Linked DNA regions of Stegostoma tigrinum. The protein of the gene in region 2 binds, or shares a complex with, the protein of the main gene of each other region. Links are inferred from orthologs where the notes say so. Each region holds a gene or a part of one and is shown on either strand. Other genes may lie near its edges. The genes, in order: phf10, AT-rich interactive domain-containing protein 1A-like and actin-like protein 6B.

Region 1 (3,748 bases), on a different chromosome or scaffold from region 2:
CACAAGTAGAGTATTGCCATAGTTCTGATTATCACCCTTTAGGAAGGATCTGAGGATCATTGAGAATGTGTAGAAGACATTTACTATTGACCAGGAATTTTCTCTACAAGGTAATCTGGGAAAATATGGGGGTATTATTTGAGCAGGTAATTGTGGGAGATTTGATGGAACTTTACAAGATCATAAAACATTTGGATAAGATAGACCAGCAGAATCCACCATTCGCTGGCAGTACAAGTACTGGGCAAAAGATGCAGAAAGAATGGATTCCTGTACCACAAGTGACTGACTCAATCCGAAACAAAAACACAAGTTGCTAGAACAAGTCAGCAGAACTGGCAGCATCTTTGGAGAGAAATCAGTTAATGTTTCAGGTCCACAAACCTTTCCTCAGAACGGAGTCACTGGACCCGAAACGTTAACTATGCTTTCCCCCCACAGATCCTGCCAGATCTGTTGAGCGTTTCGTGAAAGTTCTGTTTTTGTTTCTAATTTACACCATCCACAGTTCTTTCAGGTTTTATTTAGTATTTAACTCACTGCCACATCTCTTTTAGGCATGCTCACCTTGAAGAAGTAGAGATAACAAGGTGTGGAGCTGGATGAACACAAGCAGCATCTTAGGGGCAGGAAAACTGACGTTTCGGGCCTAGAACTTTTTCTTAAGAAGGGTCTAGGCCCGAAATGTCAGCCTTCCGGCTCATCTGATGCTGCTTGGCATGCTATGTTCATCCAGCTCTACACCTTGTTGTCTCAGACTCCAGCATCGGCAGTTACTACTATCCCACATTGAAAAAGTTCTGCTGACTCAATCAGCATCGGAACGTAACAACAATTGTTGTCCATTTAGTTCCTCAAACCTGCAAGTCTGAGGTTTCTCAGGGTCTAGGCCTGAAATGTCAGCTTTTGTGCTCCTGAGATGCTGCTTGGCCTGCTGTGTTCATCCAGCTCCACACTTTGTTATCTCGGTTTCACCACCCCCTCCTCAACATCAATTAAAAATAGACGATAAATCTCATATTTGCTAGGGGAGTTCTGCTTTTACTTTGTAATCTTAAACGTGCACTTTCTTTAAAATCAATTTTTAAATCGGTATTATTGCATCGAATTTTATCGTTTTGGTTTTTTTTGCCCTGGTCCATGTTAATGGTCCGTTGGTTTGGAAGGATGTTCGATGCATTGTATCTTGTAAGATAAACTGCTGCTTCTGGTTCAGATTCATTATTATCATCTACCTCTAGACATTTCACACTTGAAAATAAAGCTTGCAATGCCTTCGACTCCTTTTCTGTCCGTAAACCGTCCGTTATTTCTCCCTGTGTTAAGACCAGAGGACACTTTTCTGCGGAAGGCAGCGGTCAGGTCTCGGCGAGGGGGGGGGGAGGGTGTGGTGGAGGAGAAGAGCTTCTGATGGGCCGACCGTGAGGATCCTGGAGTTGAACCCGATGCTGGGGCGCCCCTTGCGCGGGAAGGCTAATGGTCGGCCTGTCTGCCTCCCGGCAGCGCAGCGCACTGCAGTTGAAATGGCCGCCGCGGTATCGTCGAGTCGCCTGTGCGACAGTAACCCAGCAACTCCGGGAGTACAGTCCAGCAAGGTGGGTGACTGAGGCTGCGGCGAAACGGTGCTCGGACTGGTGTTGTTATGGTTCCCCCAGCATGTGGGAAGGGGAAGATGTACGATCGTCGTTGTAGATTTTATCCGATCTCTGGGTTGAAACTGGGACCGTTCAAGTGCAATAAACCGTCCGCTCAGAGCAGAGCGGCCGATTGATGTTGTGTTTCTCGCTCAGCACAGCCAGCTGGTACTGACGCGCGCGGTGAGGTCTCTACATACTCTATTCTCAAACTGTTCAAAGTAGGGTCCTGTCACCAGTTGTTCATCTCTACCTCCCAGTTCAGTATTTGTAAAGTTAAATCATCACGATTCCTAGGATGTTTTTTTTTAAATTCATAATTTGAACGTTGGCCCAGATTTTCTGATGGTCAGAACCTTTTCTGAATTGAAGGTGCGAGTTGTTTAAGGGGACCCTGTAAACTCTTCAGTGTAGGACACTCTGAAGGAATTGCCCGGGAAGTTGACTTTTCTTTTGGAAAATCCCTGTCCCTTTAAATTGGAGAATTCAGGGGGTTTCGATTAAACAAGTAGACATTCAGGAAAAGTTATTAAATGTCCATTCTTAACGGCCGAGTAACTATCAGACTGAAAAAGGGGCCTTCTTGTGACAGCAGCGGTAGTGTCCTTTCCCTCGTCCAAGTTCCACCTGCTTCAGAGATAATCATAGAATCCCTACTGAGTGGAAACAGGCCATTTAGCCCATCTGGCACTGTGCTAACCACCGTGCTGCTGGCTGTCAAGACATCTCTGGTTGATTGCATCCCACTTGCCTCACACACCCATACTATATCTCCTTCATACTCTCAACGCCTTCGAGACCCTGATCTAACATTGTTTTCCCCTCCACTTTAAGACCCAACATCTCCCCTTGTCGTCAGACCTGACACCTCCCTGTGTGTGTGCGCGTGCGCGCGCCTCAAGTCACCCCATCCCCACTGCTGGATCTAACTGCAACTTTGTCCTGCAGTCAGACCATGCCTCAATCTGATATCTCCCACCTACCCTCAACACTCCACTTACCTGGTACCCCACTCATCTGGCATCTTATATACCTGGACCTTTGTGTCCCCGACCCGTCTGATATTCCTAGCCTTCTGGCATCCTACCCCACACTTGCCTTGCATATGAAATAGAGATACCAGTGTTGGACTGGGGTGAACAAAGTCAGAAGTCATATGACACCAGGTTGTAGTCCTAACAGGTTATTTAAAGTCACAAGCTTTCGGAGTGCTGCTCCTTCATCAGGGTGGAGTGGCTACCTGCTGAAGGAGGAGCACTCTGAAAGCTTGTGATTTTTAAATAAACCTGTTGGAGCATAACCTGGTGTAGTGTGACTTCTGACTTTGTCTTACGTACTTGCTGTTTGGCACCAGCTGTCAATGGCTGCCTGAGATTCTAAACCTTCACACTTCAGAATACACCTGTTGACCACTTTGAGAAATGGAGTGTGAGTTGCCTTCCCCTAACACTTCTGCACTTTGCGAGATCTGTCAGAATGGAAATACAGCTCCACATTTCTGAAGGAACCCTGATCAGAATCTGTCAGAAATGCGAACTGCTTTTGTTGCATAAAAGTGGAGATTGCCACTCATTGGAAAATTCACTTTTTTCCCCCCCCCAATTTTTTTCAAACTTTTTATTTAATCCCTTGTTATTTCAGTAAAAGGGAATAAGTAGCAAAATACTACAGATGTTTGAAATCCTAGCTATGTAGAGGAAGCACTCTGGGTCAGACAGCATACCAATTTGGACAGCATTTCTCTTAACAAAATATCTGTGATTTTGCAGAAAGCTATAAAGCAAAATTTGACACTGAGCTGTATAAGGTTACATGGGGACAAGTGACCAATGTTTGCTCAAAGAGAGATTTTGCTGAGCATCTTGAAGGATCCAGCCAAACAAATTGTCTGTTTTATTTTTGAGTTTCTTGTGACTGTACTGTGACTCAATTATAGCACTCTTGCTTCTGAATCACAGGACCCCTGTCTCAAGTCCCACTTTTGACCTCAAGGACAAAAATCAAAGTTGACTCTCCAGTGCAGTACTGAGGGAGGGCAGCAGAATTGGGCATGCTATATGTTGGATGAAAAATTAAAGTGAGGCCTTTGATGCAATGGATGTACAAGGTCCTGT
Region 2 (3,748 bases):
CGTGTCACGGCCTCAATGTAAGGGCGTGTAGCCTGTGTTGGGATCTCTGTTAGGGGAGTGTACTTTGCATTGGAGTCTCAATGTAACGGAGTGTGGAGTGTATGAGTGTCTCAATGTTAGGAGAGGGTATCCTGTGTTGGGGCGTTAATGTTAGGGGAATGAACCCAGTGTTGGGGTCTCAATGATAGCGAAATGTACCCAGTGTTGGGGTCTCAATGTTAGCGAAATGTACCCAGTGTCGGGGTCTCAATGTTAGGGGAGTGTACCCAGTGTCGGGGACTCAGTGTTAGGGGAGTGTACCCAGTGTCAGGGTCTCAATATTAGGGGAGTGTACCCAGTGTCGGGGACTCAGTGTTAGGGGTTAGTGTACCCAGTGTTGGGATCTCAATGCTAGGAAAGTGTACCCAGTGTCAGGGTCTCAATGTTAGGGGAGTGTACCCAGTGTCGGGGTCTGAATGTTAGGGGAGTGTACCCAGTGGGTCTCAATGTTAGGGAAGCGTACCCACTGTTGGGGTCTCAGTGTTAGGGGAGTGTACCCAGTGTCAGGGTCTCACAGTCAGGGGAGTGTACCCAGTGTCGGGGTCTCACTGTCAGGGGAGTGTACCCACTGTCAGGATCTCACAGTCAGTGGAGTGTACCCACTGTCAGGGTCTCACAGTCAGTGGAGTGTACCCAGTGTCGGGGTCTCACTGTCAGGGGAGTGTACCCAGTGTCGGGGTCTCACTGTCAGGGGAGTGTACCCAGTGTCGGGGTCTCAATGTTTGAGGAAGCGTACGCTAAGGCTCTCAATGTCGGGAGTGTTAGGGAAGAGAAACACTCCCTTATGCTGACTGACGGAATATTCTCCCTACCCTCCCCCATCCCTGGCCCCTCCCCCAGGCCGGGCTCCGCTCCCCTCCCCCTCCCCCTCCCGCTCCGCTCCGGGTTTTGCCGCCGCCCCCCACACAACATGGCTAGTAGTTCTGTCAGACCGCGTGTTGCGCTGGGCCCGAGGCTCCGTTAGACGGGCTCGGGCTGCCGTGCTCACCCACACCCAGCCATGCGGAGCGGCAGCGCCACCGACAACGGCACCGGCAGTGCGGCCGTCTGAGCGCCACCGCCCAGGGCAAGTCGGGGAGCCGAGAGTCAGCAAGCCGAGCGGCCGGGCGGGGAAGCGAGCGAGCGAGCCTAGCGGCCGAGAGTGGGAGCGGGTATCGGGGCCGCCGGGCCGAACCGAGCCAAGCACTGGGAGGGAGCGACCCACCGAAAGCGAGCGAGCGAGGCGAGGCCCAGGGGTGGGGGTGGGGGATCGCGCGGGGCGGCGGGCAGCAATGGCCGCTCCGGTCAGCGCCCTCAGAGACACCGAAATGAGCCAGGCCAAGGCCGGCGAGCTGGCGGCGCTGAAGCCGGGGACTGGGCCCGGCCCCACCGCCGAGCAGGAGCATCACCTGCCGGGCAACGGCTCGGAGCCCGGCGCCGCCGCTAGGGAGACCTTCAGCAACCACCGGCTGAGCGCGGCCCCGGTGCCGGGCGAGCACAGCGACGAGGACAGCGGCCACCCGCCGCACGGCGAGCAGGACGGGGCCTCCTCCTCAGAGCAGAGTAACGGCGGAGCGGGTTCCGGGGAGCCAGACCCCGGACGGGCTACTGCCACCAGCCTGGCTCTTCTAAGCGGCGACCAGAGATTCGACCATTCCAGCAGCAGCGGTGGTGCCGTGCCCCTGGGCAACGCGAACCCGGGGCCCAGTCCCGGCCCAGGCGCCGTGCCGCCTACCGGTTACGGTTACAACCATTACCGGGGCCCGTTCCACCAACATGGCGGACAACAAAGCCCCGGCATGGGGGCAGCGCTACAACCCGGCGGCCTCGACTCCTTCCAGCCCAACTCTCACGAGGCTTTCTCCGGGCACTACAACAACTACACCACGTCTTATCCGGCGGCCCGCAGTGGCTACATGAACCAGAGTTACGGCCTCAATTCGCCGCGGGCCGGGGCTGCTGGGCCTAAAGCCTTGGCCTCGGGTATGGTCGCTTCTTTCCAGCGCTTTGGTGGGCAACAGCAGCAGTCGGCGCAGGGCCCCGGCCTCCAACAGCATCAACAACCGCAGACGGCGTCCAGTACCCCAACCCTCAACCAGCTGCTCACCTCCCCGAGTGGGGCCCGGGCTTTTACTAACTATAACCAGGCCCACCAGGACTACAATAGCAGCCAGGAGCTGGCCAAGGGAGGCGAGCTGGGAACCCAGTTTCCCAGCTCGGGCTGGGCAGCAGCGCAACAAAGGAGCCACCATCCGCCCATCAGCCCCGGGAGTAGCGGGCAGCCTTTGCCTAGGACTCAGGTAAAAATGCTAACTAGTGGTTAACTAGTGTAACCAGGGGCGAAGAGTGGTGATGGCAGTGTTAGTTAATGGTTGGTGGTGTGTGTATGTGGTTGGGGGAGGGAGGTGGATAGGGCCGTGCTTGTGCTTCTCTCTCAATACAAAGAATCCGCTCTAAAATGGCCGGCTTTGTGCGAGTGGAGCAGCAGTCTCGGTATAAATTATGTAAAGTGAGGCCCGAACCCGAACTGGAAGAGCTGTTCTCCCTCCCTCCTTTATTTTCCCCACTTTTTTTCTTCCTCCTTTTTTTCCAACACTTCTTTCTCCCTCATTTCTCCCACTTTGACCCCTCCCTGTTCCCCTCCTCCATTCCACCCCAGCTGTCCCTTTCCTTTCCTCCTCACATCTCAGCTTCCCCCTCCCCGTTTCTCTCCCCCCTTCCCCTCACTCTCATTTTCCCCCCTCCTCGCTTTCCCCAGTTCTCTCCACCCCTTCCATTCTCTTCCCCCTGCCCCCAACACAGCTTTCCTCTCCCTCCCCAGTTCTGACCTCTTTTTCGTCCTCCTGCACCACCAGCTTCCCCTCACCTCCCAAGCTTTGTAGGCTTTTCACTTCAAAAAGTGTCCCTCCTGTACAAAAAAAGTCTGTAAAGGATTGGGTGAGTTTAGTTGAGCAAAACAGGTTGTGAGAGCACTAGGGTTTTGCTGCATGATCTGTGGCTCAGGTACTGGCTGCTCTCTTTGTTTTAGGATTTTGATCTCAGTGAATTTCTCTCCCCTTATTTAAGTGCTCGAGCACTGTTTGCTGCTTTGTCTGATTATTTTAATGCTGTTTATTGATGGACCTCCGTTACCGTTCCCACCTCCTTGTTTCTTTCTCTGTCTCCCCCCCCCCCCCCATGTTGTTTTTCTCGTCTCCACCGCCTCGAGTGCATGCAACCTTGAGTTGGTTCACTTTGCCAGTACTAGCTGGTACTAATGCACAGGCTGGTGATTTGAGTAAGTGCAGATTGCACGGGTTTGGGATTTGAATTATGGAGGTAAAATCCTTCTGTCAAAGCCAGGAGACAGTTGGTCTTAGGGTGACATGCTATCTGTAATCTGATTGGCTCTTCAGCTGCTGCTTCTGGCCATTTATAATTGCCTCTGATGTAATGGCAAAACAACCTGATTAGCTCATAAACTGGAATATGGTTCACATTACAACAGAGTGTAAGGGAGGGGGGAAAAATAAATACAGGTAATGGCCATTGTTTCACAGGCTTAGCTTGGAGAGGGCAAGAGATGCTGTGGAAACAGCTCCTGACCTTGAAATGCTGAGCAGCTGACTGCACAGGGACAGCACCACAAACAATATCGGCCGTGTCAGCATGCACAGCCCCATTGTGTGATGACAGGGAGCTTATGGGGGTTCTACATTCTAAGCACTGACCTTGGGCTGTAATTCCATAA
Region 3 (3,748 bases), on a different chromosome or scaffold from region 2:
GTAAACTAGTGACCATGCTGGCAAAGTGCACCTAACACAGTTGGTTAGTACAATAACAACATGCATTTACATTGTGCCTCTAACTTAGATATCCCTGAGATATTTCCTAAGAACGATCTCAAACCAAATTTGAGGCACTAAGGGGCTAGAAAGGGCAGCTCTGTCAAAAAAGCTGATTTCAAGGATCATCTCAAAGGTGTGAGAGAGAGAGAGAGCGACTGAGAAATTTAGGGAGGGAATTCCAAAGGTTAAGGAGTCAGGCCAGCTGAAGGCATGATCGCCAATGATGGAACGATGGTAATCAGAGGGTGGGCAAGAGGCTAGGATTGCGGGACTGCAGATATTTTGGAGGTTTATGTGGCTGGAGGTGCTTACAGAGATAGTGCGGGCAGTGAGGTATTTGAAAACAAGCATGAGGATTTTAAAATTGAGGTGTAGACAGATCTTGTGGATTAGCAAGGTCACAGGGTGATGTGTGAGTGAGATTCGGTGTGAGAAAGCAAGATGAGAGAGTAAAAATGCAGTAAGTTCCTTTTATCCATTAATGGGATGAGGTTATGACTGGCTGAGCCAGCATTTATTACCCATCCCTAATTGCTCAGAGGGCAGTTCAGAGTCAATCACATCGCTGTGGGTCTGGAGTCACATGTAGGCCAGACTGGGTAAAGACAGCAGATTCCTTCCCTAAAGGGCAGTTGTGAACCAGGTGGCATTTTCCCCAACAACTGACAATGCATTCATTGTCATCATTAGATTCCTAATTCCAGACATCTTACTGAATTCAATTCCACCATCTTCTGTGGCAGGATTCAAACCGAGGTCCCCAGAATTTTTTCCACGTCTCTGGGTTAACAGTCCAGCAATAATACCACTCGGCCATTGCCTCTCCTGCATTTGCTGGGATGTTGCCAGAAATGAGAGAATTTTACCTGAGGAAAGGTTGGAGTTGAGTTCTTTGGAACAGATGCTGGGGGCAGATGCATTGGAGATGTAGGCAGTGGTGAGGGGCTTGGAAAGTGTGGATAGGAAAGTTGTATTGCTTTACTAGACAGGTCAGTAACTTGACAGCAGAGACTGGAAGTAACTGGTGGCAGGGTTAGAGGGTTGTGACAGCCTGGAGCTTGAAAGGCTGCCAGCCAGTAGAGCACTGGAACAGGAGGAGGCCTTTCTGTCTCTCTTGTCTGCTGTCAAAGCTCGGTCAAAGAGAAAGGCTCAGAATTAGAGCGATTATAGAAAATAAATGGGCTCACCAGAGGAGTGGGTGGGCAACGTGGGCTTGAAGACAAGGGATTTCTGGTTAATTGCAGGAGCACAGCTCAGGATTAATGAAATGTCTAATAATACCAGATGCTGGTATCACCACCATTAACCAACGCTTCATGCCCTGTTGCTGTCTGTACAGGTAACTGGTGCTGCATGTTCTGTTATACTGAATGGACCATTAACCCACGCTGTGTGTCCCATCACTGTCTCCAAATGCTGCAGCTAATTGTGTCTTCTCTCTGTCAGATGAGGTGGGGGCTCTTGTGTTTGACATTGGCTCATATACTGTGAGAGCTGGTTACGCTGGAGAAGACTGCCCCAAGGTACGGTATTGCTACTCATTTCTTTCCTTACGTTGTTGTGCCTTATCTGCACCTCATTCCTGCCACCCTCTGCTGTCTGTCCCTCTCTTTACTACTATCTGGCAGTTACCTGATCCAAGGTGCCCCAAACCTTGCTGCTTCCAAGATACACATACACGTACCTTACCAGTAGAGTGCAGAGAGGAGTTGCAGAGTCATAGAGATGTACAGAGCGGAAACAGACCCTTCAGTCCAACTCTTCCATGCTGACCCGATATCCTAAATTAATCTGTCCCATTTGCCAGTATTCGGCCCATATCCCTCTAAACCTTTCCTATTCATATACCCATCCAGATCCCTTTTAAATGTTGTAACTGTACCAGCCTCTACCACTCCCTCTGACAGCTCATTCCATACACGCACCATCCTCTACATGAAAATGTCGCCCCTTAGGACCGTTTTATATCATTCCGCTCTCATCTTAAACCTATGCCGTCTAGTCTTGGATTCCCCTACCCTGGGGAAAAGGCCTTGGCTTTTCACCCTGTCCATGCCCCTCATGATTTTATAAACATCTATAAGGTCACCCGTCAGCCTCTGACACTCCAGGGAAAATAGCCCCATTCTATTCAGCCTCTCCCTATAGCTCCAACCCTCCAGCCCTGGCAACGTCCTTGTAAATCTTTCTGAACCCTTTGAAGTTTAGCAACATCTTTCTTATAGCAGGGAGACCAGAATTGAACATAGTATCCCAAAAATGGCCTAACCAATGTCCTGTACAGCTGCAAGATGACCTCCCAGTTCCTGTACTGAGAACACTGACTAGTGAAGGCAGGAGAACCAAATGCCTTCTTCTCTATCCTGTCTATCTGCGACTCCACTTTTACGAACCTGCACTCCAAGGTCTCCTTGTTCGGCAGCACTTGATAGGACCTTACCATGAAGTGTGTAAATTCTGCCCCGATTTCCCTTTGCAAAATGCAACAATAGAATAGTGGGGCAGGCTCGAGGGGCCAGTTGGCCTACTCCTGCTCCTATTTCTTATGCCCTTAATAAAACATTCTCTATCTCAGACTTAAAACTAATAACTGATTGGCATCAACTGTTGTTTGTGAAGCTGAATTTGAAACCTTTGGAAATACTTTCAAACATCTCTCCTGAATAGTCAGATTGTGCACACTTGTTCTAGAATCTCTATTGACCCTGGCTCAAAAATGCAACACCTCACACTTATCTCCAGGTCCCATGTTAGTCTGACGTAACTTCCCTCACTGGGCACTTGTAGAAATGAGTGTAAAAATAAGAACCTTACCTGTGACAAAAGGTTGGGATTTGATTCCTTGGCACAGGGGCTGAAGGTAGATTTGGTTGTGGGGTATGAAGTTATGATGGACTTAATAGGAAAGATATATAGCGGACAGATCAATAACCAGGCAGCAGAGACATGAAGTAAGGAGTTAAGAAGGAATTGTTTTCACCCAGGGGGTTTACAGGAGATGTAAGGGAAAACCTTTTCACCCAGACCATGGTGGGAATCTGAACTCACTGCCTGGTAGAGGCAGAAATCCCTCGTATTTAAAATGTTATAACTTCCATGTGATGTAGGTGTCTCTGGCACATTATTGCCCTTGAGAAGGTGGAGGTGAGTTGCCTTCTAGAACCATGATAGTCTGTGTGGTGTAGGGACACCCACAGTGCTGTTAGGGTAGACAGAAACTTTTCCCGGCTGATGGAGGAATCAATGTTCGGGGAGCATAGTTTGAGCTAAGGGATAGAAGGTCTAGAGCAAACGTGAGATTAAAGAAAACCTTTTCACCTGGAGGATGGTCCAAATCTCGAACTCACTCTTTGTGAGAGTGGGAGAGGTGGAAACCCTCATAACATTTAAGAAGTATTCAGATGTGCACTTGCAATGTCAAGGCTGCGGGCCAAGTGCTGGGAAGTGGGATTAGAGAGTAGTGAGGTGGTTGTTTTTGACAGGCATAGACGCGATGGACCAAAGGACGTTTTCTTTGCTACAGTTCTCTGTGACTCCACACGTATTTGATGGGGACAGGTGTGTAGAGGGAGTTTTCCTCTGTATTTAACCTCGTATTGTACTTGACCTGGGAGTCGTTGATGGGCTAAACGTAGAGGGAGCTTTACTCTGTATCTAACCCTGTGCTGTCCCTGTCCCTGGGAGT

The links.
Region 1: AT-rich interactive domain-containing protein 1A-like (region 2) and phf10 share a complex: the UniProt entries of both Homo sapiens proteins name them as parts of the neural progenitors-specific chromatin remodeling complex. The link is inferred for Stegostoma tigrinum from reciprocal best matches to the Homo sapiens genes ARID1A and PHF10.
Region 3: AT-rich interactive domain-containing protein 1A-like (region 2) and actin-like protein 6B share a complex: the UniProt entries of both Homo sapiens proteins name them as parts of the neuron-specific chromatin remodeling complex. The link is inferred for Stegostoma tigrinum from reciprocal best matches to the Homo sapiens genes ARID1A and ACTL6B.

What each region holds. Positions count from the first base shown.
Region 1 is NC_081362.1:87,911,376-87,915,123, forward strand, and holds the start of phf10 (PHD finger protein 10), read left to right. Parts: upstream 1-1,431; 5' UTR 1,432-1,445; coding exon 1,446-1,595; intron 1,596-3,748. UniProt on the Homo sapiens protein: Involved in transcription activity regulation by chromatin remodeling. Belongs to the neural progenitors-specific chromatin remodeling complex (npBAF complex) and is required for the proliferation of neural progenitors.
Region 2 is NC_081377.1:32,757,622-32,761,369, reverse strand, and holds the start of AT-rich interactive domain-containing protein 1A-like, read left to right. Parts: upstream 1-933; 5' UTR 934-1,310; coding exon 1,311-2,318; intron 2,319-3,748. UniProt on the Homo sapiens protein: Involved in transcriptional activation and repression of select genes by chromatin remodeling (alteration of DNA-nucleosome topology).
Region 3 is NC_081398.1:8,382,397-8,386,144, reverse strand, and holds the start of actin-like protein 6B, read left to right. Parts: upstream 1-1,308; 5' UTR 1,309-1,347; coding exon 1,348-1,402; intron 1,403-1,509; coding exon 1,510-1,586; intron 1,587-3,748. UniProt on the Homo sapiens protein: Involved in transcriptional activation and repression of select genes by chromatin remodeling (alteration of DNA-nucleosome topology).